Arabidopsis thaliana: one gene and its partners. The protein of the gene in region 4 interacts with the protein of the main gene of each other region in a pairwise test. Each region holds a gene or a part of one and is shown on either strand. Other genes may lie near its edges.

Region 1 (8,469 bases), on a different chromosome or scaffold from region 4:
TTGCTATAATGCTATGATTCCATTATGGAATAAAACCATAAAATATTTATTTTAAAATCAAGGATAATATTTAAATTATCATAGTTGTCCATAAAGTCCATGACCATATGATTTTACGATTTATATTATTCAGCAAATGAATATTGTTTCTGGTACGATGTGACACGGCAAGTTCAAGTTGGCCATTCTTTCGTGCGATTGTTAAATTATACCGATTTCAACAAAGACATAGGAATTGTCAAGTATCTTTATCTAATATTTTAAACGTAAGACCAATTGAAAACAAAGTAATAATGTGTTTTTATTTACAGCTCTTGATTTTGGTTTGTTTTGTCTTCGGAAAAGAGAACACAAGAAGAAATGATTAAGCCAATTTCATTTTTTTTCACATTGTAACTCTTCTTCATAAAAACTTCAACTTTCTTTAGAAAAGCAGTTAAAGACGAAAACATCTCTTACAGGAGTTATATTATTATATATGTGACTACCCCCGACCAATTTAAGTATTGTAACTAGTTTAAGACATAAACAACAGTTATTATAGTTAGCAACGAAGCTTAAATGAGTCCAAGATGTTTGCAATGTTGTTTCCCTGAGACCTACACCAAGAGATGGAGAAAAATGCTTGAGCTTCTGCATCAAACCCCAAAAAAAATCAATCCTAGTCCTAGACATCTCCTTCGAGAACCTCAGTGCCTTGCCTACCACGATATTCCCAAACTCAATCTTTGCCAGCCTCATCAACCTATCTCCGTCGCACTCCAAAAGCTCCACAACCACCACTACCGTTGACTCCTCCGCATACAGAAGTTACTACATACTTCTAAAACGAGAGCTCAATGCAATGACCATAAAGATTAACTGCGATGATCCCTAGATAAAATGGATTTGATCTTGTCACTTGCTAATGAGAGCATTAATGTCAAATTATAAAGATTTTAACTAATGCGAGTTTTAATTTTTTTTTTACATTAATTGACTTGTATTCATAGAACATTTGTAGCAAAAACTTGGAAAACAGAGGTTTCTCTCTATTGTTATACTTGTAGGGCTTCAAATTGGAAAAAGAAAAAAACACTGCTAAAACGCCATCGTTTTCGAAAATTAGTCATTAGAGGCCCACGGGAACACGATATATGGGCCTAAGTTTCGGTCAATTCTATATAAGAAAATGACAATACTGTCCTAAATAATAGAGGCACAGAGACAGAGAAAAGCTTTTAACTTACTGGTTTTACAACTGTGAGCTGATTTCTGATGTGCCACTCTATTAAAAGCTTTTAACTTATTGAATTCATTAGTTTGTTTGGTTATTTTTCGTTAATGTGAAAAAGTTTCTGCTAGAACCATTAGCAGGAAGATCCGTTTGTGATATCTAGAGATTTCTGATGGCTATGAGACATTTGTATCTATCTTGATAAGATTGTTATCTGAGTATAAGCTGTATGCTCTTCGTGATTTTCCTGCTAATGGTTCTAGCAGAAACTTTGGGCTTGTGACAAGGCAGCCATACAATGGAATGGAAGGGAAGCTGCTTCCTTAACTGAGCAAGGTGCGATTTTATCTTTAGTGCACCAAATATGATTTACTTTTCTTTCATAAGGTGTTGATGAAGTTTGCAATGTGTATTCGTTTACAGCTCTCGATTTAGGTTTGTTTTGTTTTCAGAAATAAGAACACAAGAAGAAATGTATTAGCCAATTTCGTTTTTCAAATTGTGTAAACTCTTCTTCATAAGAACTCCAACTTTACAAAACAAAATAGTAGTTTATGACGAAACACTTTTCTTACCAGAGTTATGTAACTACATTGAACACCGGAACAATTAAACTATTGTAAGCTGGTTTGAAAAATAAACACAGAGTTATAATCAGCAACGAAGCCTAAATGAGTCCAAGATGTTTGCAATGTTGCTTCCGTGAGATCTACGCAAGAGACGGATAAAAGGCATGAGCTTCTGCACCAAACCCCAAAACAGATCCATCCTAGACATCTTGGTGAATCTCAGAGCCTTGACCACCACGAAATTCCCAAACTCATTCCTCGCCAGCCTCATCAACCTGTCTCCATCGCAACCCAAAAGCTCCACAACCACCACAACCATTGACTCCTCCACCTCCAAAAGCTTCTCCACGATGTAGCTTCCATACTTCTTAAACGATAGCTCAATGCACTGACCATAAAGATTAACGGCGATGTTGTGAATGCAACGCGAGTCATACAGTGTAAGCACATGTTGGACCACAAAGTTCCCTGAAGCATCGTTGCTTAGCCGGAGAGCGTTGGATGCGACCAATTCTAGTAGCTGATCTCTGTAGTAAGGATCGTCAGCGTCGGTTATGATATCATTGAGCGCGATGCAGCCGTGCTGGTCACACGCTAGGTCGAGAGCGTGGTAGAGAATGCGCTCGTACAATGCCTTTTTCATCACCTTGTCGAAAACGACCATGGCTCGTATCGTCACGTAGGATGCGTATTTGTCGGTCGTGATGTGGAGGAAGCGGCGCAAGATAGCGGCACAGAAGAAGGCGTCCACGTCATCTGATTTGCCGAGGAGCTTCTGCACGCGTCTCGAGCCGAACTTGGTTGTGACGATCGACATGAAGTAATCGGAGTCAGACGTAAGCAACGAGGCCATCCTCTGAAGCTCTGTTTTGTCTGAATTTGAGATCATCTCTTTAAAGTAAGACACACCATCGCCGTCAGTCATTAGGTTGAACAGAGCTGCGTGCAAGGGCGTGGCGGAGGCGCGTGGGGCGAATCCAGGAGGAGGAATGGAACCGGAGATTCCTTTAGGGTTTGGTAAAGCATTGAACATGGTCGACATTGAAAAGGGATTATCAGCGACTGCCATTGATAAATCTCTTGATGATCTACAGAAATTTCTCTAGAAAAGGGTTTAATCAGTTTGTGTGATTTGGGAGAAGTATGAGAGACTTGTGAATGAGAGATCTGTGGTGATGCGTAGAGTATTTATAGAAAAGTTAGGGCTTTTGTTTTTCTAGTTACAATTACACAACTCGGATTACTACTAGGAAAAGGAAAAGGAAACTTATTTGGTGGAGTTTCCTTTTTGTTTTGTCAATTTTCCTTTTTTCTTTGCATTTTCGTAACTGTCATGATTTTAATCTATCTTTTTTTGGTGTGTGAAGATAATAATAATCTATCTGAAACAAATGGAAATATGTAATTTGTTTTGTTGTAAATCGACAATAATTTAACATGTCGATAATCTCTAAAGTCTAAACCAACCCCTCGCAGTCCAAGCTTTTGATTTTGTCCACGTCACTAATCTCAGCATGCGTAAATTTATCTGGTCCTACTTGACACGTAGGTTAGTTCTGCCACGTCATCAAACTCCAAAATAATATCTTCTCTGACCTTTTTGTTCTACCACCTCCCAAAAAATCCCAGTCTTCTCTTCCTCTGATTCTCTATCAAGTTTTTTAAATTTTCTTTCTTTTTATTCTATTTTAGTAGCAATTTGGTTCTGTAAAGTTGTTGGTAAAAGAAAAATAGATACGAATCAAAACATTTTTGAATGATTAGGTGATTAAATGCTAAGCAAATCAGATTAAGCAAAAATCTGTTCTTTTTTGGTTGTAATTTGGTTTTTCAAGTCAGATATGGTGAGAGATTCTGGTGGTGGTGGTGTTCATCAATGGATTATGTGAAAAAGGTTTGCTTTTGTTTGTCTTGTCGCTTTTACAATCTGCTGCTGTTTGAATTTTGTGCTTATTTCATTAAGTATTATAGCTTAGAGCCTTAGAGTTTGATTTTGTATCTGGTTCTGTAGAGTTTATAAGAAATTTGAGAAAGTAGGAGATCTTTACAATCATCTAATGAATAAAAGAAACTGTGTTCAAAGTTTGTTAACTACTTACCAAGTACTGTGATAATTTTCCATTGGAACATTGATAGCTTTTGATTTTAGAAACAACAAGTTTCAGATTGTTTTCTAAAGCTGAGTGTGTGCTACTATTGAAATTTGATTTGGCTTGTTTAGTTTTTCTTTGGACAAGTTTGATGATTTATCCAAATTCAGTTTTTTATTTTTTGGTTCTGGTGTGAGACTGTGATCTTCTTACGGAATGTTGCTTTTTTTTTTGTTTCTCGTTTCTTATTGGGCTGAGGTTTTGGTGAAGGGATTAGAATAAGTTTGGGGAAAGAAGAAATGTGCAAGTGTTATGTCAGTGTAGAGGGGAAGTTTCTGCAGAATCTTAGCTGTTACTTGATGCTGCTTCTATTCTATCTTGTTCATGGAGGCTGGTCTTGACACTTTCATGAGATATTAGTATTCTAAAAATGTGTTTTAATAACATTGAAACTGGTGATGAAGTGGAAACCGAGAGGCAAGTGTTTGGTTCATCTGAAGAAGATGAATTTCGAGTTGAAGATACTGCTAGAAATACCAACAATGTACAGATTTCTCAACAACAGCAGCAACCGCTAGCTCATGTTGTGAAGTGGGAGAGGTATCTCCCAGTTAGATCGCTTAAGGTTCTTCTGGTGGAGAATGATGACTCAACACGCCATATTGTTACTGCCCTTTTAAAGAATTGCAGCTATGAAGGTTTTCTTATATTGAATTGATCATCCTTGTTTAGCAATCACATTTTTGCTTTTGACTAACAGTTGTAAATTTGGAAACTTTTTGTCAGTTACTGCTGTTCCGGATGTCCTTGAAGCCTGGAGAATTCTAGAAGATGAGAAAAGTTGCATTGATCTTGTCTTAACAGAGGTTGACATGCCTGTGCATTCAGGAACCGGTCTGCTGTCCAAGATTATGAGCCATAAGACACTTAAGAACATCCCCGTCATAAGTATTTACTCAAATCCTTGATTAAATTTTTGTTTATCCAGCTTCAATATGCCATGCTCAGTTTGTGTAACTCAAGATGTGATGTTTCTTTTTGTAGTGATGTCATCACATGATTCTATGGTTCTGGTCTTTAAGTGTTTGTCGAATGGTGCTGTTGATTTTCTCGTGAAACCCATTAGAAAGAACGAACTAAAGAATCTTTGGCAACATGTCTGGAGAAGATGTCACAGCGTAAGAGTTCTGATTTGGTTACCTGTTTTACAAAAGTTACTCTGTGTTTTTTTCTTACTTATGCGTTTATTGATTTACCAGTCTAGCGGAAGCGGAAGTGAGAGTGGAATACATGACAAGAAGTCGGTGAAACCTGAAAGCACCCAAGGGTCAGAAAATGATGCCAGCATCAGTGATGAACACAGGAATGAAAGTGGGAGTAGTGGTGGTTTGAGTAACCAAGATGGTGGGAGTGATAACGGGAGTGGAACTCAGGTAATCTGTTCTATGGCTATAGATAATAACAATGTCTGAATAAATCGGTTTATAAATTTTTGATTGGTTTTGCATTTATAAAAATATGTAGAGTTCTTGGACAAAAAGAGCCAGTGATACTAAGAGCACCTCGCCTTCAAATCAATTTCCCGATGCACCCAACAAGAAAGGAACCTATGAAAATGGATGTGCACATGTTAATAGACTGAAGGAGGCTGAAGATCAGAAGGAACAAATAGGTAAGAACGCAAATTAATTAGTCAATTAAAATGTGAGTACACTGATCTTGTGGAACAATTCCTTGAGATTCTCTCTGATTTACTTTAATTCAAAACAATGACTTTAGATGATATTGTATTAGGCACGGGATCACAGACAGGAATGTCTATGAGTAAGAAAGCTGAAGAACCAGGAGATCTTGAAAAGAATGCAAAGTATTCTGTTCAAGCTTTGGAGAGAAACAATGATGACACGCTGAATCGCTCTTCTGGTAACTCACAAGTAGAAAGCAAAGCACCTTCATCTAACCGAGAAGATTTGCAATCACTCGAGCAAACTCTGAAAAAAACAAGAGAGGATAGAGATTACAAAGTCGGTGATCGAAGTGTGTTGAGGCATTCAAATCTCTCTGCATTCTCAAAGTAAGTTCTTGACATTAACTGCAAATGAAATGTCGAACCTGTGACTGATTTGGAGTTATTGGTTCTCTTGTGATATGCAGATACAATAATGGTGCTACTTCTGCTAAGAAGGTAACTTTTCATGATGCTTGGCGCTGTCTTTGAAATTTATGCCGGTTTCATCAAAAACTTTGAACTTTTGCTGAGTTAGGCTCCAGAAGAAAATGTGGAAAGTTGTTCTCCTCATGACAGTCCTATTGCAAAACTGTTGGGTTCGAGTTCAAGCAGTGACAATCCTTTAAAGCAGCAGTCTAGTGGAAGTGACCGATGGGCACAAAGAGAAGCTGCTTTGATGAAGTTTCGCCTTAAACGTAAAGAGCGATGTTTTGAGAAAAAGGTAAGCTCTAAACAAGCTTAAGCTCTTGTTTCCTGAGACGAAACTAACGTTTTTTTTGGTATCCTTTAGGTTAGGTACCATAGCAGGAAGAAACTAGCTGAGCAACGGCCTCACGTCAAAGGTCAATTCATTCGCAAGTAAGTTCAAATCCTTTCCAAGATTTCTCCCTCTAGATGTTTCGAAAAGTATCCTGATATAGTAATGTACTCACATGGAGTCCTTTGCCTTTAGGAGGGATGATCATAAATCAGGAAGTGAAGACAATTGAACAACAAAATTGGTATAGAAGAGAGATCCACCTCCAATATCTGAAGAACAGAAGAAAATTTCACAAAGTGGCATTTTTTTTTTTCCATTTCCAAAAACAGATAGTAGTCTTGTTTAAATAACGTCATTACTATTCTACAAACATAATAATGTCGCTATAGTACTTCTTCTCTGAAAACAATAACTCATTAACATTTCAATAAATAATGTTACTCATTAATTAGTGTGTGTGTTTTATGAATATAATTTGAGTATTTAATTCTCTAATTTTTTTAAGAATTATTAGAGCGCATAATCTCCCGTCTATATAAATATCCTCCGGCGAATTCTTTTAGTTCTCATCATCCAAACCTCTCTCATTCTCTTTCTCGCTCTAGTTTTCTCGTTGAGAGTCTCTTACTCTGTTTAATTACTTGTTTCCGGGAAAAAGATTCTCGGGAAAACAAAAGAAAAAAATCTCAAGAAAGATTCATCTTCGTTGATCGCTACGATGAAACGTTTCTTATGCTGTCTCAAAGGAGGAAGCTCAAGTAACGCAGCGCAAGGTAACGACGAGAACGACGAAGTAGATGTCGAGCGCCTATTTGGGAATAACGAGCGCCTCAATCATCTTTGGAGAAATCATCTCCGACTCCCTGACGATCGTGAAGTTGCAGGTTCCGTTTTCGTTTCTCTTCTTCAATCTCTTGAAATCGAGATTTCTTGTTTTCTGGGTTTCTTGTATCTTACGCAACTCTGTATTTTAAGAGTTTCTTTCTTACTTCTTCGTTTTGGTCTCGTCACATTCTTGCAAGTGAAAGTAGTATCTTGTTCAATCTTTAACCTTTGGTAATTCATTTGCAGATCCGACTGCTGCTCTGTTACCAGTATCTCCACCTCTACCTGATAATTGTGGAGAATCATTTCTATGGCGTGAGCTCGTAAACGGAACCATAAACTTCCGGGACGAATTTTATCTCGGCAAAGGCAACTTCGGCGAAGTCCATCGCTGCTATTTCTCAAGACTTAATGTGGTATATAGACCCAAAGGTCATGTCCTTTATGCTTAATAATCGAAACCCAGTTTCTAAAGTCTGAAACTTTTGATTTCATTAGGATGGAGCGGTAAAGGTTCAAAATCCACAGAATCCAACTGGTCATGTTGAGTTCTTGGCAGAGGTTACAACGTTACGTGCAACTAATCATCCAAATGTGATTAGACTTCTTGGCAACTGTTACGGCCAAAGGAACCGTGCTATAATTTACGAATTCATGGCCAACGGAGATCTTGAGCGTCACATCTTTGGTAAAGAAAACTCAATCAAACCCTAATTGATGACTCTGTTTTAGCTTCTAAACCTAATTGATTCTGTTTTTTGTAGCACACAAAACGATGGTGGAGGGTCCGCGACCTAAGGGTCTAACACTACCAATTAGGGTTTTGGATTGGTACACGAGGATGAAAATTGCTGTGGGTGTAGCCAAGGGCCTGGTTTATCTACACGAGGAGCTGAAAGTGATTAACAGAGATGTCAAGGCCGGAAACATATTACTTGATGCAGATTTTGTTCCGAAGCTGACAGATTTTGGATTGGCGACTAAAATCGTTGAAGATGAAAACGGTGTTGAGCAGCAGCAACGGATCATTCCGATGAAGGCATCTATGGGATACATTGCACCGGAAGGAGAGATTTCCTGGTTGGTTTCGACTAAGACTGATGTCTATAGCTATGGAGCTTTTCTGTTAGTGCTTTTCACCGGAAGGAAACCTTTTTATTCGGATAATCCTGCTGGGAAAAAGAATCTCACTGATTGGGTATGACTAAAACTTTTGTATCTAGGAACCTTTTACACGTTTCGTGTTATGGAAGTTAGTAGATTAGCTGAGTTTTGTTTGG
Region 2 (6,946 bases), on a different chromosome or scaffold from region 4:
TTTGAAAGACACCTTTTAAATTGATTTGAATTATAAATCTTTTAATAAAAATATTATTTAAACAAAAAATAAAATAATAATATTTAATTTCACCGAACGGATTAGATGGTAGAACGGATTTAGAATATTATAATATATGAACTTTATAACAATTAAATAAGCATTTCAAATAAAATTTTTAAATTGATATGAATTATATATATTTTAAATTAAAGTATTATTAAAACAAAAATAATAAAATAATGTTTTATTTTACTGAACGGGGTTAGATGGTATGACGGGTTTGGATCGATAGTAATATGAGACAGTATATCACTGGTGAAATCCATTAAATATATTTAATTTCACTGAGGTAAGACGGATTTGGGTTTATAGTAATACGAGACGGTATACAATGAGTGAAATCCTATAACTAACAATTAAAATACAGTTATATAATTTAAAATATATAACAAAACAAACAATCTTAACAAAAACATATATAATTTAAAAATCGACTTATGGTGTATCCCATGATAAAATCAAGGGATTGTACAATATATCAAAATTAGAATTATATATTTATAAAATACAAAATAATATGTTACATATAAATAATTTATAAAAAAAAAAAATTTTCAGTTTTTTTTACACCGTGGGTTAAAATCTAGTTGAATATTAAACTCAACTACATGTTCATGTTATTTGATCAGTAATGTTTCACTTATAGTTGAAATTATATGCTATTCAGTTAATAGTTATAAAATAAAAATACATATAAAATTTTACAAAAATTGAAATACATTTTCCTTCTTTTTTTTTAGTTAAATACATGAAACGAAAATTGCAATTATAGATAGAATAAAATTGTATATTTAGAAATTTGCACTATCTTGGTTTTTGTATTAAAAAGAAAAAGGGATAAAAAAAAGTATATATTGAATGGGCCGTATCAGAAAATAACATGACGCGTTCCACTAAGAGAACAAAACTAACGTCTCTTAGAACACCCCCATTGGTAGAGTCCCTAATTAAGGATTTTCAATATATTAATCATATTTTTTGCATAATTCAAAGTTAAAGACTTCATAAGGAGATTCTTATTTTTTCCTCCTCCAATGGTAGAATCTCATTAGGGATTTTCAGAGAAACCTTAAAAGATCAACATTTTTTTCCAGAGAAAATAAAAACCAACAAAATCAAGTCCAAGGAACTATATTTATCTTCTAGACTCTGCTCAAGTTTCCAATTCATCCTGAGCCATGTCTTTGGTGATCTTGTTCTCCATCTGAAGATCAACAAGAATCTAACCAGGCCTAGTTCGACCAATCCCATGATTTCTTCTACCCCTAACCCACATAAGATTGAAACATACATACATTTCGTCTCTTAGCCACAAATGTAATCACATACAACACCAAACACTCATAAATCACCAAATAAATGTTATTTAAAAGCCCTTAACGCAACTTAGCTTCAACTACAGAGAACTTAAAGACACGACTGATGTAATCGTATACAAGGATCAAAGTAAATAATTGTGACTAGAACTCGAAATATTAAGCATGAAAATTTTTGAGATCTCTAACCATAAGAAAGCATCAATTGAAATAAGCAATGTGAAGAACTTACCAGGTTAAGGAAATTATGAGCAAGGCATCTTACGGAGGGACAATTCCTATACACAAAGCTATTAGGATTCATGTACTCATCAATGTCTCTGACTCAAAAAATATTTCGACGTTACCGTGACGGTTCTATTTACAAAACTCTGATTCCCTGTTAGGTGGTCCCTCTTCAAAGCTAAGAGAATGTGTAAACACACAACACAAACACAAGTTTCTTTTGGCAAATCAAGTCTAATTCCTTCTCATAACTTGGCAGTCTTTAAGTACACAAAGTAAAGCAAAGGGGATCGACAACTAATCCTAAAAACAAAGAACATTATTAACAAAGTGGGAATATGGAAACGTGGAGCTTGATCTCCTAAATCTAAGTAACGCACTTATCAATTCTTCTATTCTTTTTGACCATTTCTTCTGTGGTTCAATCATGGTTAAGCACTTATCATTCACCAAAAACATCTGCTTCATATATCCACGTTACCTGCAATGATAAAATGGGTTTGATTCCTTGATAACTCCAAAAAGATGCAAAGAAGATAATGATTCTGAATTTTTGATACAACACTGGTACAAAGCAACTTCAACTGAGATAAGAGACCCCGAAAAGTGACAAACCCCATCTCCGATTTGGTTCACAGTCCTCTCCGATTAAGTTCACCAAACTAGTCGACGTTGAGCACCGTCGGTTGAGATGATGAGCACGATGGATAAGAGACAAATTCCGTCGATAATCTCTTCCAATTTGATGATATAAACGCGTGATGATGATGATCACCAATCGCTCAATCGCCACCGGAGTTAACAAGAGAAGAGAAGAGAGGAAAATCGATTTGAAAAACAAAACACGGCAAAAGAAAAAAAAAAGTTTTGTCAAAAAAACACAACCAATGATTAGTTGCCACGTATGCGCACCTTAACAACTGAAAAAACTCTAAAATTAGGTGCGATCCCAAGTTTAAATCACATTTTAGATTTATTTTTTTCCAAAATTACTTAAGGATTTATGTTAAAAACTGTTAAGGATCTCCCAATGGACTTGCTCTTAATGTAAAGATTGATACGAAAACAGGCCATACACACTGATTTGGTTCAGCCTGAAGCAGTCAAAGTTATGGATGGTTATTTACTTATTTTGGTTAATTTACCATAGCAATGAAACAGACACAGTGACGACTTGTATCCTAAGCCTTTTAAGTGTCCAAAAATGAAACTAAACTTGTGGACTACTCAACTCTGTCAACCCTCCTAAATTTAGCGTGGTCTTGCAGCTGTACGTACCTCACTCTTCTTCGCGCATGTCAAACATCTTTGTCTTTTTTATTTTTGTAAAAATAATTTTTCAGTTTTCACACTTTTTTATTATTATTTTAAATGAAAAAAATAGTATGTTTTTTAATTCAAAATGTGAGAGTTTTACATCAATGTGAGTTTCTCGAGCTTTTCTATTGGGATTTTAATATCTTTATCCGTAAACATTTTGTGTTTGATTAGTTTGTTTTACAAAATTCATCATTTCGAGTAAATAGAAACCAACAGTTTTCTTGGGCCAAGTTGCCTTACCATTTTTCTGATTTCTCCTTTACCAACTTATCCCATTGATGTAATATCATAGTTAACTATTGTTGCTACTTGCTATAACTGAAATTATGCAATTTTTCATCTTCTTTTTTTACTATTAAAATACATTTATTGATACTATTCTTTTCTGGTTTCTCACCTTTTCACTTGTTTTCTTCTTTCTCTGTCAATTCCACAAACAAGCCTAAGCAAGAAAAAGAAAAAAAAACTCTACGATGAGAGGCACAACGGACGAAGAAGACGGTGTCATGAACTTCTCTGATGTTCTTATGATGTCTGATGATGTCCTTAGCTCCGGTGAAGTAGAAGAAGACAGCTTTGGTTTCAGATTCACCGGAAACGATGCTCCTCAAATGCTCTGTTTCGGCGGAGGAAACCAAAACGACACCGATCTGCTCTTCTCACAACCCTCTTTCTCTCCCGCTTCCCCTCTCTCTTCACGCAATAACGCCTGTGTGGTCAATGATCAATCTTTTAGATCCAATGTAAGTTATATATATGTAAAACATTCCTACAGTTAATATTATTTGAAATTTTAGCCAAGCTTTAAGGTCATTAAGTAAAGTGACAAGATCATTAAAAAGTATATGCATCAGTGCATGCAACAAGTCAAACACAAGATCATTATAATGTATAATTTTTATTTTGTTTAATGTTTGTCTCTTTGTTTTGAAGAAGAAAACCGGGTCGGCTGATGGGCACGACCGGGTTTGCGATCCAAAACCCGGTAAGAGATGCAAGCGAGATCAGAAGAAGTCATCGCTTGGAAATGCTAAGGTTTGGCTTTAAAAGTGTGTATATTTATGTATACTTATCTAATGGATCAGCTATTTGGGTGAATAATAGTAATTAACAAATGCTATTCATAAAAATAGGTCAAGAAAGAAAAGGTTGGTGAAAAAATCACAACATTGCAGCACTTGGTTTCTCCATATGGCAAGGTGGATCAATATACTAAAACAAGTTACCTTCTCTCTTTGTTTTTGGTTCATATATCTCTTATCAACATAATACTGAACTAAAATCAAAACCCTGAATCTAGGTGATTAAATTTTGATGTAAACTTGAAACTTTTACTATAGTTACGTCATTTGGTATTAGCTTGAAACCTTTACTTGTAGAGAGATATTCACGGACTATATTTTACTGTTTTGGAGGTACATTATGTGTTTTGGTAATTAAAATTAGTTTACTTTCTACATTTTAACTAAGAAAAATGTAATTTGGAAAATTTGAATAGACAGATGCAGCATCAGTGTTGCATGAAACAATGGGTTACATAAAATTCTTACAAGACCAAGTTCAAGTTCTTTCAACCCCTTACTTCAAACATAACCCTCTTGTAAGTCATCCATCATCCTTTTGTATTATCTTATTTCATTTTTTTGTTACACTTTTTTCTTGGTATCCTCTTTTTTTGTTACACTCTATGTCTTTATCAATAAAACCGGAAGATATTTATTTTTCCATGATTCGAAACGACTGTTTTAAGACTTAAAAGATTACTATTTTGACGGTGTTGTGACTGATGAATAGTTGATGTGTCGTCAGGACGACGAAGACACCGGAGAAGTAAACCCGACGATGAAAGTGAAAGAGTTGAGAAGCAATGGTTTATGTCTTGTTCCACTAGCTTGGACCGTACACGTGGCGAATACTAACGGTGCTGATTTATGGTCCTCTGCCATCTTGTCACCACTCACCAGTCACACCAACAGTGAACCAGTAGAGATTGTGGAAGTCAAATCTCATAAAGATAAGTAGATAATCTTCAAAAGTGAAAATATTTCTAAACTTTTATTATTATTATTGTAACAAAATGCATTTGAATACCATCATCACCACCACAAACCACTAAATTACAAATCCATGTGATAAGCAGCATTGTGATACTTTTCTTGCCAATTAACTCCCAAGATCAAAACAAGACTTTCAAGAACTTCAGCAGAAGAACATTATAAATTGTCTTAGCTTTGTTGTTGAATTGCTGAAACAACTTCACCGATACTCTTAAACTTTCTCCTTTCCTTGAGAAGCATCTTCGCAAACTCGAGTGCACTTCTCTCGCAAATAGCTCTTCGCTTATCTTCTTCGATTGATTCAAAGTCCTCAACATGTGCCACTCCCACAATTCTCCTGCCATATCATCAAACCAACACTGTCAACAACGTTTCTGAGTTTATATGATCGACAAAGAAATCTCATGGACTAAGATTCTCTCACCTAATCATCTTTGCAGCGCCGAATCCGAGTGAGTCATGCAACAAATTCCTCATGTAGTTTTCTTGAACAAACTTCAAAACCTCGGTATTGTTATAGATATCTGCAAGGTATGCTTCGCCTGGTCCATCTTTGTTTTGATCCCATAGCGCAATGAACCTTTTGTTAAACAAATTCCAAGTTTGCTCAATGGTTCTCAAGATCCACTGCTTGTATTCCTGAAAATAGAATCATGTTGCTTTAAACTGATGTACTTGCAACCGTGTAGACGATGCCTAGACAGAAAAACTGCAAATCAGAATTCTGAATAAATTGCTTACTTTTCGATCATTTTCCTGAGTGGCGTGTCCATCTTGTGCAAAGAAAGCTAGTATCAAGTTACCAAGATAAGCGCCAATATCGAAACCCATCGGTCCATAGAACGAAAACTCTGGATCTATAACTTGCGTTGAATCTTGAGTAACCATGACAGAACCAGTATGAAGATCACCATGTATTAAAGCTTGAGCTCTTTCACAGAACCTAACAACATAATACACAATGGTGGTTCAGAGATACTAGCAAATCCTAGCGGAAATTACCGGGAAATGAGAAAACACATACATCGATTTTAGCTCTGCGATTTCGAGCTTCAAGGCACTGTCTTCGCGCACAGCCTTAGCATCATCATCAAGATAAGGTGAAGTCCAACGATTAAATGTGGAAACTCTATATGGGTCCGAAAACACAACTTGCTCCGTTAATCGGCATAACTCCACATTACCACAAAATTCGGTTACTACACAAACACAAAAGACACTCACTACAAGCAACACGATAACATTGACTAGTAAATAAAATAGATGTGAGGGTTTTGAACCTGCTCTTCTGTGCTCTGTGGTATCGTGATAGAGGAGAGAAGTGAAGAAGAGAGTCTTCGCCATGTAATCAGACATGTGGTCTGCGAGGAAAGGATACTCAATCCCAGCAATGAGTCCTTTGCGGAGAATGATATGAGGAGGCTCAAGGTATCTCATTCCAATCAACGCCATTGTTCTGTCAAAATGGTAGACTTCAGGAACATGATCAGGTGATAAATTTCCATGCTTTCTCAAAGTTGTTGCTTCAAAATAAGCTCTTTCTTTCGTCATTGGCCATGATTCACCGATACAGCGAATATATGGAAGAGCCTGTACTTATAAACAGAGAATCAAATCATCAACAATCTGATTCCTTGAAAAATCAAAGCTTTTCTATTTTGCATGAAGTCAGAGACATCAAAGTTTGCTCATTTCATACTCAAGATCAGAGCAATAGCAGAGTAAAGCACAATCTAGTATTGTGAAGACAAATCAGATAGATAGAATCTGAAACGCACATCAAATAAACCCTAATTCCTAATCTATAAATACTTTACTTTCCAACTAAAACAAAGAGATATGAATCTGTTATGCTTAGGTGATGAACAAAGAAGCGAACCTGTTTGATGACAAGAGAACCAGAGGATCCAACAACGATGAAAACGAAATTGAGATTGCCATCTCCAACTTCTTTGATAACCAAAT
Region 3 (8,119 bases), on a different chromosome or scaffold from region 4:
ATCGACAGGATCGCAAGGCAAGAAGGCGTTTCAAGTTTATGGCGTGGCTCATGGCTAACCGTGAACCGTGCCATGATCGTGACAGCTTCTCAGCTCGCTACGTATGATCACGTCAAAGAAATCTTGGTAGCTGGTGGCCGTGGAACGCCGGGAGGGATAGGAACGCATGTAGCGGCGAGTTTTGCGGCGGGGATCGTCGCGGCGGTGGCGTCGAATCCCATCGACGTTGTGAAGACGAGGATGATGAATGCGGATAAGGAGATTTACGGTGGACCGTTGGATTGTGCGGTGAAGATGGTGGCAGAGGAAGGACCAATGGCTTTGTACAAAGGGCTTGTTCCGACGGCGACGAGGCAAGGACCGTTCACGATGATCTTGTTCCTTACCTTGGAACAAGTTCGTGGTCTGTTAAAAGACGTTAAATTTTGATTAATTTTTTTCAAGTAGTTAGGTTAATAAATGTTTGAGATTCCCATATTTCTTCATACATTTCATATACGTTTAAAATATTTTGAAAATAATTATATAGCGATTAAGGTAATATTTACTAGAGATTTTTGTATAAAAATAAATTATTTATTTGCACAAATATTTTTTTTAGTAAATGCGAAAACTGATAGTGATTGAAGCAAAGGGACTTTTTCGGACGGTCCAAGTCTCTTGGACTTGGGGGATATACTTTTGCTGGGGACCTTCATTTGGTATATTCCTTTTTTTCTTTGGGTACTATGTTCTATTTTCTTGGTTGACAGAAAATATGAAATATCGCTTCTAAATTACAATTTCTTTTGTTTGTTTGTAAAAATCTAAATTAGAAATTATGCAAAAAATTATAAGAAAATAAGATTAACAATAATGTTTTTCTTTTATTGACTTTGATCATATTATCTCTATAAAAGAGAAATAAAATCTTTCTAAAGTTTTTTTACTTGAGTTTGAAGCTGGTGGCAATTTGGTGTTTGTTTTATGAGATTGTATAAGAGTTATCCAAAGCTGAGACATGGCCCAAAATAAGTCCAAGGCCATGTTTAGGCTCCATTTTGCATGGCCACTCCACTCATCTAACCAAAGCCCAGTCTCAATTATGTGAACTGAAATTTCTATGTTTTGTTTTTTCACACTGAAATTTCTATCTAACTGTCTTTCTTTTAACATGTTTCAATGATTTGCTTCCGAATAGAACACATAATAATTGTTTCCTAAAATTTTAAGAATTTTGAAGTACATAGTAGGCATTTGGGTCCACTGATCTCACACGGCAACGACTATTCTCAAATCTCATATCACATCAAAATAAAGAAAAAAGATTCAACGAGAAATTAAAATCTTTAGAAAAAATGTTCCAAAAAGAAAAAGAAGTCATCAAGGCAATTAAGCACTTAATTCCCTGTGCATTTTTTTAATCATTCACTTGCGTCTCTTTCTCTTTTTCTTTTTTTTTCTTCTTTCACCAAACTTGCTTACCTCTTTATTCGTTTTCTTTTCTTTCTCCTATGATCATGGAATTTGGTGGATGCTCCAACGTTTTTCACCTCAATCACTTATTAAAATATCATGTACAATAGTTCGTAATTATATATGAAAAAACGAGTGGGCTAAATTGGTGTTTTATAAGCCACGTCAAAAATATTGTATTATTTAGCTAGCTACTAAACTAGTCAAATATGTTACAATGTATATAGTTCAATTTGTATCGCGTCATCGTAAAGACATAAATGTTCCAAATCATCCCACCCACACACCTAAAAAGAAAGGTTAATACTTTAAAAATAATGATTATAGAAACCACCAAAATGGTTAAAAACTCACTTCCACTATTTGGCTCATAATTATAAAGAAAAAACGTTGCCCCCCCCCCCAAAAAAAAAAAAAAAGTTAAAAAGAAGACGAACATATAATGGCTTTACTTTAACGAACTACTAAGAAATTCTCACGTTTATGATATTACATAATTATTAATTTATGGCTTGAAATTATGGATCGCGAGGGTTTGCCATTATACATCATAATTACATATATTCTACGTTCCACCTCCTCTACTCCTCGTCCCATTGCAACCATCCAAACTAATAAAAATATTTAGATTATTTCTACCATTCAATTCAAAATTATATGCATTTTAAATTATACTATATGTATTTTCTAAAATAAATTTAAATTGAACTGAATTAAATAAATTTAATTTTTCTTTATAAAAAATATGTGTTAGAAATATGAATTGAAACTCATACTAAAGTGTATTTTAGTTTTAATTTCTACTAAAAAGAATAGTAAAAAATCAAAATAATAAGACTATATCCAATGTTCAATTCTATTTTTTCTTCTATTTTAAAATTGACTCTATTTTAAAGGTATTTTATTTCATTGTATGACTCTAAAATAAAGTTTTCTCTAAAATAGAAAACAAATATAGAGTAAGTTGTCTTTTGTTCTATTTATAGAGTAATCTCTACATTTTTCTTCTATTTTAGTAGTAACTCTATTCTAAAATATATAATAGAGTAAAATTAATTATATTTCTTCTTAAATTGAGTTAATATTAAAATAGAAGAAAATAAAGTTGGGCAATGGAGATGGTGTTATGTTTTGCTCAAATGAGTTTTTAGAGTTGATGTTCCAGCTTGGTTATCTAAATTTTGGAAGAGAAAGAAAAATGAAAAAAAAAAAAAAAAAATCTGAAATAAACTTGGTTGATGTGAACTGTTTTTTTCTTTTTCTTTTTCTTTTCCTGGTCTCCATTATTGACGGTAAATAAAGTGGTGGAAAAGGGTAAAATCGTCACAAGAAATAAGAAGATGTATAAAGCAATGTCACACACTTCAGTCTTCACGCCCACTTTTAGTGAATTTGCTAAAAATATATTTTCGAAATAATATTCCGCTTTCTCGTTTCTTATCCGTTCAAGCTTTCGTGAATTCGTCTCATAAACCTCTCCACTCTCTCTGGATCTCCACGCATAGATCTTCCTCTGTTTTCCTCCATGTACGCTTCTTGGATTCACTTAACCATTGTTTGTCGCTGTGCTCTCTCTGTTTTTTTATTCCTCGAAAAAGTTGAATTATCAGCGAATTTGATGCAAATGTGTTTAAATCGTTACCAAAACGGATAAATTCTTCTATTTTCGTAGCTTGGCTTGCAAAATCCAAGCTTTTAGTTCTTGATTTTGCTAAAATAAATTATACTTGTTCAATGCTGCAGAACATGTACTTATCTTCTTCTGCTGTTTATGGTTTCTCTATCCTTTCAATTGTTGTGAATGTTTGGTTTCTTTGGTTTGTTATTACTGGAATTTGATGAGATGATTCTCTGTTTTGTAACAGAATTCTTCTCTCTTTCTCTGGATCACAACAAAGCAGTGAATGAGAAAAACAGCATGAGTTGGTTCACAAGGTCTGTTGATGTGTACCGTAAAGTTGTGAGCTTGAATCTGTATTGCCGAGTTATTCTGTAAACTTTTTCTCTGCCTTGAAAAACCCCATCTTCAATCTTCTTCTAAATCCTCAGCCTTTTCTAAACTCTTTAATAATGGGATCCCAACGTTTCTACGTTTTCCACTGTGACCAGTATAGGATCATCTAAACCCTTAAAGCTTCTCTTTTTCTTCTTCAAGTCATCTGTCTTTTGGTGACTTACTCTGTTCTGTGGAGAAACACTAGTTTTACATTCGAGAGTTTGGAAAAGTTATTATTATGGTAAGTCAATCAGCTGGTCAAACAAGATTTCGAACATTCAAGTACGAGAACAACGGAGACTCTAGCAGACCAACAATTGTAGTGAGAGTTATTGCTTGCTTCCAACCGATGGATAATTGTCAGGTTTGTTGCAGCAAAAATGATATTATACTCTTTTTTTTGTCACATTTCATCTCATAGTCCTGTGTTTCTTATCTAACACTTTTGTCTCTGTTCCACTTGCAGGCTGAATACTTTAGACATATACTCAAACCAGTGACGTAGTTGGTTTGTGAGCTTGTGTTTGTATTTTTGGAGCTGGCACCTTTTTTCTTTTTGTCTCTACTTTCTTATACGATTGTTTCAAGAAAGAATCAACAAGTGTTGCGTTCCACACATTTGAGCAACAGCTTCCACAATCGGTATGCTAACTGAATCTTTGACTCTTTATGGATTATTGCTTTCTTGAGTTGGGCTACTAGTAGTTGTCTCATTCATAGCCATGTCCAATGATTAGTCCCTTTCCTTTTTCGTGCAGTATTGTATTCCTGTAAAGTTCCCTTGGCTTAAACTGCAAGAGCATGCCTCTTGATACCAAACAGCAGAAATGGTTGCCATTAGGCTTAAATCCTCAAGCTTGTGTCCAGGACAAGGCGACTGAGTATTTCCGTCCTGGAATTCCTTTTCCGGAACTCGGTAAAGTTTATGCAGCTGAGCATCAGTTTCGCTATTTGCAGCCACCGTTCCAAGCCTTATTGTCTAGATATGATCAGCAGTCTTGTGGAAAACAAGTTTCATGTTTGAATGGGCGATCTAGCAACGGTGCTGCTCCAGAGGGGGCACTCAAGTCTTCTCGGAAAAGATTTATAGTATTCGATCAGTCGGGAGAGCAGACTCGTTTGTTACAATGTGGATTTCCTCTGCGGTTTCCTTCTTCTATGGATGCAGAGCGAGGGAACATTCTCGGTGCCCTACACCCAGAGAAAGGGTTTAGTAAAGATCATGCCATTCAAGAAAAGATATTGCAACATGAAGATCATGAAAATGGCGAAGAAGACTCGGAAATGCACGAAGACACTGAGGAAATCAACGCGTTACTGTATTCTGATGATGACGATAATGATGATTGGGAAAGTGATGATGAAGTAATGAGCACTGGTCACTCTCCATTCACAGTTGAACAACAAGCGTGCAACATAACAACAGAAGAGCTGGATGAAACTGAAAGCACTGTTGATGGTCCACTTCTTAAAAGACAGAAACTACTGGACCATTCGTACAGAGACTCATCACCATCCCTTGTGGGCACCACTAAAGTCAAAGGCTTATCAGATGAAAACCTTCCTGAATCAAACATTTCAAGCAAACAAGAAACGGGTTCTGGTTTGAGCGACGAGCAGTCAAGAAAAGACAAGATTCACACCGCTCTGAGAATCCTGGAGAGTGTAGTTCCAGGGGCAAAGGGAAAAGAAGCTCTTTTACTACTAGACGAAGCCATTGATTACCTCAAGTTGCTGAAGCAAAGCTTAAACTCATCAAAGGGTTTGAATAACCATTGGTGAAAAACCTACAACCCCTTTTGTCCTATTGATAAGGCATGTTTGGTTGGTTAAAGAGAAGACATGGGACAAAAGATAATCAATGAGGTAAAGGACTGATGAAGAAGATTCTCTCAAATTCATTAACGTGGGTTTGAAACAATTAGAACACGCCTGGTGACCCTAGTGGGACCGTATCCACTGTTCATCTAGCTGGATCAATAGTGGTTTACTTTTGGATTTGGCATGCTCTCTCAAAAAAGAACCAAAAAAAAGTCACTTTCTTCTGTGCTTGGAGTGGAAGAAAAGTGAAAGAAGGGAAAAAAGCAAAGTCTTGGTGCTCATTGATCGTTAATAATTATCTTTACTCGTGAGTAATAATAATATCTCTGTGAAGGTCTGGTGGTGGTGGGTGTGGATGAAGAAAAATCAAAAAGGCAAATATTGAAATTTTTGGAGTGGTTGTGACTTGTGGAAATTGAAATCTTCCCACTTTCATTAGGTGAAAATCTATGTCCCCACTCTCTCTTGTCTCATTATTACTCTTCTGTTGCTATCAATCCCATAACTTGTCATCTTTTTTGTTTTTTCTAATCTCTCTGGCTCTTAAGCTCTTCAAAGGCCTTGTAGTTTTGTACTATTGTAATGTTATTTGCTTCTGTTGTTTCTCTCATGGGTCTAAACATGTTTGTGTATCATGTTCATGTAATAAACTCGAGTGTTAATAATGGAACCTTCTTTGGCTTCTTACATGCTAGGATTTTGCTCTAACCTTTCAAACTATCATTTTTTCTATACCAAAAACAAATTTTGTAGACTTATTATTAAACAACAACCATACAAGAAAAACCTCCACAATCTATTTTTTGTTGTAAAATTTGGACTTTTTGAAATTTGACGTTACATATGAAATGTTATGGACCTTGCCTAAGGAAACACATCTTCCGACTATGCAGCAAAATCTTCTGGTGAGGAAATCTATGTGTCTCATGACCTCCCACGTAAAGAACAAAAAGATATTTAAGAATCACAGTGAAGAGAAGAAACCTCTATTTTATTCATCCACCATGATTAATGAGCTTGATCTGATTCTTCTTGCTAAGAGCATAAAATTTTCACCAACTTATTTCTCCATCTTAAGATGATCCTTCATTCTCCAAGCTGCATTTGTTATGCACCAAGATCAAGTGAAAGCCGCTGGCTATTCCCTCTAAACCAACATCTCGAAAAGCATTCAAGATCCTCAAGCAAGCAGAAGCATCAAACTCTGTCGTTTTAGACTCTTTCCACTGATGGATAATCTCCTCGGCTTCTCTCAAATGACCAAGCATTAGATAAGATGAAAGAACACAAATGTAGCTTCTACTACTCAATATCTGGTTGGTGTTTCTCAAAGACTTCCAAATCTGATCTATCATAACCTTGTTCCCTAGACCAGTGTGCAGAATCATAAGGAAGTCATATGTGATCCATTCTCTTTGCGAAATAGATTTCTCAGCTTCGACAGGCAAAGTAGACTCTGCATTAGTTACTCTACTACTGTTTATGTAGATGCTAGTAAGATCGATATACCGAACCCAACCCTCATTGGAACTAGCATCATGCCTCATCTCTTCAAGAATCTTTCTAAGCTCATCTATATTAAAGGTTGCAGCACATGAACTTAGCCACAAATTATAAGTAAAAATATCCGGAGAAACCTTTTTCTGCTTTAACACTTCAATAACCTCAGGTACTTTCTCAACTTGCCCAACTGACATGTATAAAGTCATCATCTCGTTGTATGTGATGGCACCAAAAGTGAGACTATCACTCTCAATGATTCTCTTGAACAAGGCCTCGGCTCGTTCGGTTTGTTTGGAGGCAGCATAAGCATGAAGGAGAGAAGTATAGGTTTCAGCTGTCTTTGAATCTATATCCAGACCTTCAAAGTAGCGTTCAGCTGCATCGATCCCGAAAACTTTTGAAATCAGATCTATGCGTGAGGCGTAATCAGCATCTGAGATCTTTGATTCTTCATGCTGTACCATCCACTCTGTAACCTGTTAATAATACTTGAATTAGCTCCCAGAAGAATGCAGTTTTGTGCAGCAACACATAACAAATCATAAATTGTGCAATCAATCTAGAAACTAGGAGCTACGAAGAAAAACCAATGAAAAAGGAAATGATCGATGTTAGTACCTCAAGAGCGTGCTTGTAACGGCGAGTTCTCCTAAGCTCTTTGGAGATCTCTCGGAGTTCATTGATAGTCATTTGATTCCCTTCTCCAATCCATTTCTCGAGAACAGTAGTCGCGCTACGTTTCGGAAGTCTCAATCTGAAAATCCTGCTCTTCAGATCGTCTTTCTCCTCCGATTCCTCGACAAGGGAGTTTCCGATTGCTGCGTCAGCATTGTACGACTTGGAGAATCGTGACGATTCGGCGTTTCGAATGAAATTGCTTCCGAGAACACCATTATTCGTCAATCGACTAAATTCATAAGAAGCAGTGTGAATCAATTATCTCAGGAAACAAATACGAAATCAGTAGGAGACATAGAGAGGTGGAGGGAGACTCACCATCTAAGACTATGGAAGAGCGAGCGAGTCGCCATGAATTTTCAGTTCCGACTGAAGAGACCAAAAAGATCTAAAAACCGATCACTTACTTCGAGAAACTCGAGTTTCAACAATTTTGTGTCGAAAAAATAGCAAAAATATCTAATGGGCCCATGAAAATCAGCCCATTAGCTCCAAGATAAACAACCACCAACGATGTGGCAATTCGAAGTTGAAGGCATTAAGTATTTGGGGATTGGTATAAGGCGTGGAATGTTTGGGTTGGTTATTGTGAGGCCTTGAATGGGCTTACGGAGTTGAAGGCTAACTCTTGATTCTTATTATTTTATAGATTTGGTGTCGTTTGCT
Region 4 (7,923 bases):
ACTAATTTAACTAATTAATTAATTTTAGAAGGCCGAAATAAGAATGAAAATTCTTGATTTTTTTATTTAAATGCATACTATTCCATTTAATTTAGTGTGCACAAGTTTTACATTGAAACCACTATTTTTGAGATTTAAGTTTGATATAATACAGTAAAATCAAACCTTATTTGTATATTAACAATAGTTGTTTTCCAAACAAACCATTGTGCATGTATTAATCTAGTTAGTTAATATATTGGAATGTTGCATATCTCATCAATTCTCCTTTTTTCCATTCAATAAATGTCTGAACCAGTGAGCCGATTTCTTAAGATATCTCTTACGTCTATCGTTGAAATCCACGTAAACAAGTCCAAACCTGACCGTGTACCCCGATGCCCATTCAAAGTTATCTAGCAACGACCATGCAAAAAAGCCCTTAACGTTTGCTCCAATCAAGATAGCGTCTTGAACCATCTTGAGATGTCGAGCGTAGTAATCGATTCTATCGCCATCTTTAAGTAAGATTTTACCAGTGCTAGCTTCATCTCTCCCATTTTCTGTTATGTACATGACAGGGTCTTTGAACTTGTATTTTGCATAGAGGATAAGATCACGAATTCCCTTTGGATATATCAAAAGTCAATCTGATGCAGCTTTTGGACCAATGGGAACTCCATCTCTTTCGCCTGTGACGCTAGCACAAGGATCAGAGAACATTGTAACGTTTTCGCTTGAGCAAGGAACATCTTTTGCATAAGAAGACGAGTAATAATTGATGCCAATGAAATCATATGATCCCTTAAGCATGTTAGATTGTTTTGAAGTAAATGTAGGCAAGCGACCGCCTTTTACGTTGTTAACCATGTCAACCGGGTATTTACCGGTCACGAGCGGCTCCATGAAATAGTCGAATGTGAAAGCCATGGCTCGTGCCGCGGCTAACCTATCCTCAGCTGATTCTGTATAAGGTAAGTTCCAACCTGCATTCAAAGCTATACCGACTTGACCTTTTTGAGAAGCCTTATACTTTTTTCTATAGACTTTGATTGCTTCTCCGTGAGCTAGGATAAGGTTGTGACCAACGATATAAGGCTCGGTGGCTCCATTCCCGGCGGTGCAGTTAGGGTTTGTAAATTTTGAACACCTTCCTGGAGCCATAACACCTGCAACATATCCTTGTTGCACCACTGTTAATGGCTCGTTCAATGTAATCCAATGTTTCACTCGATCTCCAAAGCTCTTGAAACAAATATCGGCATAGTCGCGAAAATCATTAACAATTTCTGCCCCACGGAATCCTCCGTAAGCATCTTCAAGGTCTTGTGGTGTGTCCCAATGGAAAATGGTTGCGAAAGGCTTAATTCCTTTAGACAAAAGCTCATTGATCAAGTTGTTGTAATAGTCAATACCAGCTTGGTTGATTCCTCCTTTAAGATTCCCACGAGGCAAAATACGCGACCACGAGATGGAGAATCTATAGGCATTGAACCCAATTTGATGCAATAAACCCACATCCTCCTTGTAAAGATGGTAAGAGTCATCTGCAATAGATCCGTTGCTACCATCTTTTATCTTTTCTGGGTATTTTTCAGAAAACGTATCCCATATACTAGGTCCTCTACCATCTTCCTGAGCAGCTCCTTCAACTTGGTACGCAGAGGTTGCAGCTCCGAAAATGAAATCTTCTGGGAAATCAGTTTTTCTTAATTTAGGTGTTGAAGAGTGTCTCTTGGCAACAACTTCATTGGAAGCCAAGATGATGAACACTAGTACGGAGAAATATTTACTTGTCATTCTAAATTTTTCTTTTGATTATTGAATCTTTGTTTGTTGTAATATAATGAATTATGTCTAGAGTTATATAGGCAAGAGATTTGTTTTTACATTGGGTATGTGAATCTATAAATAGAGAAATGTAAGATAGAGATGGTGTAACAAATCTTTTAATTTTTACTTGTCCATAATTAGTGAATAGAAGACTATTGAAATGATCTTATCTAGTTGTCTTTCTAGTAGGAAAAAATTAGAAACACACTTGTAAATATTTTCCTTTTTCTTGTAACTACTTTTTTTATCCAACAATTTTGTAAATTCCCAAAATAATTCAAATAACTCTCTCAAGACTCCATTATAAACTATTCTTTTTTTTGTTAAATCCATTATAAACTATTCACAATGATCTTAACTAGTTATCGTCTTTATGATTTATGTCTCGAGAGAGTTATTTGAAATATCTAAGAAATTTACAAAAAAAAATGTTTTCTGTAAGTTTCAAACTAGTTTTAGAAAATCGTGAGTGTGGATTTGCATAAGATGATCAAGCTGTGTCCATTTTCTTGTTAACGTAGGTCTCTTATTGCAAAACCAATTTTTTCTTCTTCTTCTCTTCATGCTACGAGTCTTTTCTCTCTCGCTAAGGCTAATCTCCCTTTATTCTCTCACCATTCTTGTAAAAGCAAAGAACATGAGCATCAAGAAATTAAATTATTGAAGGTCCGACATGGAAGTGAAATTTGTAGAGTTGTAGTTAAACTTTGAAATACGAGGCCGAAATCAAACTAATCGTTGGAGTGACATAGAGTTGGGCTTCACTTTGGATCGATAATAGGCCAACTCATTTCAGTAGGAAGTACTTGGAGTGTTTTTCTTTTGTACTACACGCATGTACTACTTTTCTTTCATTTCACATCCAATAGAGTACTACTTTAACACACAAAGCTGAAAACTCCCAAAATTTGGTAGGATACAAGATTACAAAACAAAGAAAAAAAGGACGGACCAAAACTAATCGTGCACATAAAGATCTCAATGAATTTAATGAGTTAATTATTTTTATACGGTTCGATTTAAACCAAAAATCAAAAATGGCATCCTCAAAGAAAATTTTGCATGAATTAAAGACCAGTTTGGTTCAATGTTTTGTCATCAGTAACTACACAAACAAATACTTAAAATTTAATATATCTACAATAGTTTTTGTGTGTATTATTTGTTTCTAATTGACTTTTTTTACACCTGCCTAACAATCTCCCTTACACGTAATGAACTTCCAATTTACACGGAGAAACAACCACCCCTGTTGACACGTGTCATCACCACACCGACCGGCGGTGCATCACCCTTAGCTAATCCGGCTAACTCCAAACGTCGATGAGCAGACGGACGAGGAAGATTCTCCGGTACGATGGTCTCTAGCGAGTTCTCAAGCCAAGGCGGACACGTCCTCTTGTCACTCCACCTCCGCGGCGGCACCACACCCGCAGCCATCTCTTCTACCGGCGATTTCACAACCGCAGCTTCCACTGATGCAACATCATTGATCTGAATCCCGCCGATTACGACAGTTGCCGCCACCCCCAAGACAAAAGAACACTTGTTTTTCCGTGGCTCTGTCTCATTTTCTGTTCTCCTACTAAACAATAAAAGAACAAAGATCATTGATATGAAAAATTATCAGGTAAATAATAACTTTTCATGAATAGAAGAGATACCAAGAGATCTTTGACGTTGTCTTGAGCAGTGAAGCTAATGATTGTGCAGAATTTGAATCTAGGGGAGGAAGATTTAGACAGCAGCTTATTCTCCCTGCCATTGTTATTCCTCTGTTTTCGTTTCCTTCTTTTTCTTAAGAATCCACCTAGAACAAATTTTATTTTATTCCTTTCACCTCCAACATATATATAACTACTAACCCATTCTTACTTGGGTCACTCATTTTTTCTTACTATATATGTATCCTCAAATTATTACATTTCATATGCGCATGCAATACAAACCACATCTAAATTTTTCTTCCAATATGTTCTTTCTCTATACTTAACTAAAGCCCAAAGAATGAACTTAACCTAGAAAAGATGGACTTGACCCAATAGCATTGGTCCGTTGGAGATGTTAGGTCCATACTCCATACAAAGACAAATTGAACAAAAGTCGTGAATCTGTTTGCTACGTCTGAATAACAACGTACACGTATCACGCCTTGCGAACAAATTATTTGACAATGATGGCCAATTAGCATGTGTCATCACTTGTTACCACGTCAACAAGGTTCTTGTCGGTCCGTTTAATTAATAGTAACCATCGTTTTCAGGAAAAAAATCCACATAAAAAGTTTCTAATGGCGAAACAATATTCAAATATTTCCTAACAACTACCATGAGACTGATTCTTTTTCTCTTCCGAAAAATTAATGAGACTGAGTCCTAATTTTTCTTATAGTTAATTTGGTGACCATCAAAGAATGTAAAAGTATTTAGGAAACAGCACAAATAATCTGGCAATTACGGTCTACAACATGTTTATTTACTTATTTTTAAATTATAGAAAAATTTAATATTTTAATATCTTATATTTAATGCCCTAAATAACACTAAATCACACATATAAATAGCAGAGATATAAATATAGAAAAACATTCCAAGCATTTTTCAGTACTTAACATTTATACAGAAAAACAATTAAACATTTTTCAGCACTTAATAATTAACATATGTGAGAAATTCATAAACTCTATTAAATATTCATGAAAATAATGTATTTTTAATTTTATAAGTAATATCTCATGTGTCGACTTTTTTTATATAAAAAAGATGTAAAAAAGGTCCCAAGTTACTAAAATTCAATTTTGTCAACTTAACTCAAAATCTTTTTGCTATTAGTCTAAAATTTCAGATTTCCTTTCTTGCTATTTTTCAAAATACTATGTTTACTTCTCATATAAACTGTAAATATATCCCTTTTTTAATAAGAAAAAAAATCTCTCACTTCAAAAACAAAAAGGAAAAAAAAAAGCAAAGAGAAAAAGTAAATAATACGCCGACGTTTCGTGTTTATGTTAAGCTTCCTTTTTCCTTTTTCCTTTTTCTTTTTGCCTTTTAAATAACCGTCGGACTCATATTTCTCGCCTCCGCCGGCGAACAGTTTTATTATCTCTCTCTTTCTGCGTGTTCCAATTTCTTCCACAAAACCCTAATTTTCTCTTAAACCCTGAAATTCGTGTAACCTTTCAACAATCTCTTCAATTTTGTTTTCGATTCTGAATCCATTGTTTACGAATCTCTCATCTAAAGCTACATTCTTCGTTAAATCGTTTTTAATCGACTCGCTCACTCGTGAGTTGACTCGTCAGCTGTTTCCATAATTGCTTATTGAATTTTTATACGATGATGTTTCAATATGGAAGAAACTAGAGGAATTTCTGATCCAGAGAATGGGAGTTCGAGTTACGGCGGTAAACCGCCGAATCCACTCTCCTTCTCTTCTTCCTCCGCCGCTGCTGCCGTTTACAGGCAAACCTTCGACGGCGAGCGATCGTTGGCGCCGTGTAATAAGAGGTCACTGGTTCGACACTCATCTCTCGTAAGATTCGTTTCTCTTCAACTTGATTTGTGGATCAGTTAGGTTTATTTTGTGTATTGAATGATCAATTTAAGTTGAGGTTTTGTAATTATTGCTCTGCTTTTGGATTTGATCATTATTGGTTTCCTAATGTGTATAATTAAGGTAGAAAGTTTCTGTTTTTAATGTGTCATTATGAGATGTTTGAGGTTTTCTGATTGATTTTCATTTTGGTAGGTGAAGACAATGGTGTCAGATATATCTGTTGAGAATGAGTTTACTATAGAGAAGAACAAGTCTGAGTTTGTTCCTGCTACGCGTTCTGGAGCTTGGTCTGATATTGGCTCCAGGTCAAGCATGGAAGATGCTTATCTATGCGTTGATAATTTCATGGATAGCTTTGGCCTTCTGAATTCTGAGGCTGGTCCAAGTGCCTTCTATGGGGTATGTTCTTTCTTCAGTTTTCCTGATTTTTTGTAGATTTGTAGCATAAGCAAACAACTGTGAATGTAGTGAAAATATGGGGATCTCTTATTGAATTTTGTTTGTTATTAGGTATTTGATGGACATGGTGGGAAGCATGCCGCTGAGTTTGCATGTCACCATATACCGAGGTACATTGTTGAAGATCAAGAGTTTCCTAGTGAAATCAATAAGGTGTTATCTTCAGCATTTCTTCAAACAGACACTGCCTTCTTAGAGGCGTGTTCATTGGATGGGAGCCTTGCTTCAGGAACTACTGCTTTGGCAGCTATTCTTTTTGGAAGGTTTGTTGATTCAACTCTTATTATCTTTTAGTTTTGTCTAACCTAAACTCTTACATCTTGGTTATGTTAAAGAAAAACGTGTTTGGGAATAGATGCTTATCCTCAACTGCGTAGTGTGCATAATCTTGACCTTTAACACAATCATGTACAACTAATTCGCCTGTAGATGTATTCTCTGCCCATATGTGCTGCTGCTATAATGTAGTTATTGTCTCATATGGTCTTTGAGTCACGTATATACTTGCTCATTTCATACTCTATTAGTATTCTGGTATGAAACCGTTTGGTACCGTGTTAACATATAGTTTTGTGGTAACAGGTCGTTGGTGGTAGCAAACGCTGGAGATTGCAGAGCAGTCTTATCCCGTCAGGGAAAAGCCATTGAAATGTCAAGAGACCACAAACCCATGAGCAGTAAGGAAAGGAGACGCATTGAAGCATCGGGTGGACATGTATTCGATGGCTATCTAAATGGACAACTTAATGTGGCTCGAGCGCTAGGTGACTTTCATATGGAAGGCATGAAGAAGAAGAAAGATGGTTCTGATTGTGGACCTCTAATTGCAGAGCCTGAGCTCATGACAACAAAACTAACAGAAGAGGATGAGTTCCTTATAATTGGGTGTGACGGGGTTTGGGATGTGTTCATGAGCCAGAATGCTGTAGATTTTGCCAGAAGGAGACTACAGGAGCACAATGACCCGGTCATGTGTAGTAAGGAGCTGGTTGAGGAAGCTTTGAAGAGGAAGAGTGCTGATAATGTGACGGCAGTGGTTGTGTGTCTTCAGCCACAGCCACCACCGAACTTGGTAGCGCCGAGGTTGAGAGTTCACAGAAGCTTCTCGGCGGAGGGTTTAAAAGATTTACAGAGCTACTTGGATGGCTTGGGAAACTAATTGGGGGACATGAGGATGGTGACGAATGATTGATTTCTCTGTTTTTGTTTTGTCTTTTCTTACAATTTTATAGTTTGGGGTTTGGAGGTTTTGTTCTGTTAAATTCTCGCAATTTGAGTAAGTTATAACATGAGGCGGCATACAATAATTTATTGTTTGGTAGGATATATTTTTTTGTCACTTTTGCATAATAATAATTCTGCTTCAGTCTCATTTGTTTTGTAACTAGAAAGTTATTCCAATTCCTGCGTTTACCGAATATGTTGTGTTCTTGCAGAATGACGTATGTTAGATATGCAGTAAACTCGAGGGTCGGCTTTGACCACATCGCCACTTATCGGTTTGCGGATGCTGGAAAAGTCAGTCTAGTGATGAGGCTGAGTGAGCCATCGTCAGTTACTATTTTATCGTGAAACTCTGAACAACGAGATTGTCCCGGATATTCAAATGAGGAACAAGGCCCAATAGTCCGATCAAAGTGGGCTATTCGTATCGCTTACGAGGCCTATACGATGGTAATTGAATTCACGCGCATTCATCAGCGCGTGATTTGGAGTTGCTCAATTTCAGATCGCACAGGCTCTGTTAATCATCTCCTCCTCCGAAAGACAGAGAAAGAGACAAATCAAATTCATTCATATCAAAGAGATAGAGAGAAAATGTCCGGTGTGGCTATTCATGCGAGTTCATGGGGCGCGGCTCTGGTGAGAATCTCCCCGTACACTTTCTCCGCCATCGGAATCGCCATCTCCATCGGCGTCTCTGTTCTTGGTGCTGCCTGGTATAAATCCTTTTCTTCTTCTCCCCATTGATTTGCGAAATCATCATGCTTACGAAAACTATTTTGCTCTCTCTCTTTATGGTTTAGGGGAATTTACATTACCGGAAGTAGTTTGATCGGTGCCGCCATTGAAGCTCCTCGAATCACTTCCAAGAAT

Evidence for each region.
Region 1: the proteins of DBP1 (region 4) and PRR3 interact in a two-hybrid assay, tested with the Arabidopsis thaliana proteins (one large-scale study listed by BioGRID).
Region 2: the proteins of DBP1 (region 4) and AT1G49830 interact in a two-hybrid assay, tested with the Arabidopsis thaliana proteins (one large-scale study listed by BioGRID).
Region 3: the proteins of DBP1 (region 4) and AT5G09460 interact in a two-hybrid assay, tested with the Arabidopsis thaliana proteins (one large-scale study listed by BioGRID).

The regions. Positions count from the first base shown.
Region 1 is NC_003076.8:24,196,339-24,204,807, reverse strand, and holds PRR3 (pseudo-response regulator 3), read left to right. Parts: upstream 1-3,443; 5' UTR 3,444-3,679; exon of another isoform or gene 3,680-4,145; 5' UTR 4,146-4,305; coding exon 4,306-4,573; intron 4,574-4,661; coding exon 4,662-4,823; intron 4,824-4,919; coding exon 4,920-5,308; intron 5,309-5,399; coding exon 5,400-5,547; intron 5,548-5,669; coding exon 5,670-5,949; intron 5,950-6,029; coding exon 6,030-6,060; coding exon of another isoform or gene 6,061-6,093; exon of another isoform or gene 6,094-6,139; coding exon 6,140-6,325; intron 6,326-6,394; coding exon 6,395-6,462; intron 6,463-6,556; coding exon 6,557-6,593; 3' UTR 6,594-6,810; downstream 6,811-8,469. Other genes in the region: PUM18 (pumilio 18), read right to left, coding at 1,871-2,854; AT5G60090 (Protein kinase superfamily protein), read left to right, coding at 7,083-7,248, 7,436-7,605, 7,688-7,877, 7,954-8,387. UniProt on the Arabidopsis thaliana protein: Controls photoperiodic flowering response. Component of the circadian clock. Controls the degradation of APRR1/TOC1 by the SCF(ZTL) complex. Expression of several members of the ARR-like family is controlled by circadian rhythm.
Region 2 is NC_003070.9:18,443,111-18,450,056, reverse strand, and holds AT1G49830 (basic helix-loop-helix (bHLH) DNA-binding superfamily protein), read left to right. Parts: upstream 1-3,284; 5' UTR 3,285-3,397; coding exon 3,398-3,667; intron 3,668-3,857; coding exon 3,858-3,959; intron 3,960-4,057; coding exon 4,058-4,123; intron 4,124-4,422; coding exon 4,423-4,524; intron 4,525-4,706; exon of another isoform or gene 4,707-4,733; coding exon 4,734-4,946; downstream 4,947-6,946. Other genes in the region: MTK (S-methyl-5-thioribose kinase), read right to left, coding at 5,150-5,318, 5,406-5,620, 5,723-5,924, 6,006-6,180, 6,262-6,571, 6,861-6,946.
Region 3 is NC_003076.8:2,941,551-2,949,669, reverse strand, and holds AT5G09460 (transcription factor bHLH143), read left to right. Parts: upstream 1-2,830; 5' UTR 2,831-2,982; intron 2,983-3,320; 5' UTR 3,321-3,815; intron 3,816-3,917; 5' UTR 3,918-4,093; intron 4,094-4,209; 5' UTR 4,210-4,252; coding exon 4,253-5,233; 3' UTR 5,234-5,932; downstream 5,933-8,119. Other genes in the region: DIC3 (dicarboxylate carrier 3), read left to right, coding at 1-429; AT5G09450 (Tetratricopeptide repeat (TPR)-like superfamily protein), read right to left, coding at 6,346-7,251, 7,394-7,682, 7,772-7,806.
Region 4 is NC_003071.7:10,902,216-10,910,138, reverse strand, and holds DBP1 (DNA-binding protein phosphatase 1), read left to right. Parts: upstream 1-4,871; 5' UTR 4,872-5,160; coding exon 5,161-5,343; intron 5,344-5,559; coding exon 5,560-5,766; intron 5,767-5,877; coding exon 5,878-6,089; intron 6,090-6,408; coding exon 6,409-6,985; 3' UTR 6,986-7,144; exon of another isoform or gene 7,145-7,262; 3' UTR 7,263-7,423; downstream 7,424-7,923. Other genes in the region: BGLU14 (beta glucosidase 14), read right to left, coding at 259-606, 658-1,779; AT2G25625 (histone deacetylase-like protein), read right to left, coding at 3,040-3,397, 3,477-3,577; AT2G25610 (ATPase, F0/V0 complex, subunit C protein), read left to right, coding at 7,498-7,766, 7,854-7,923.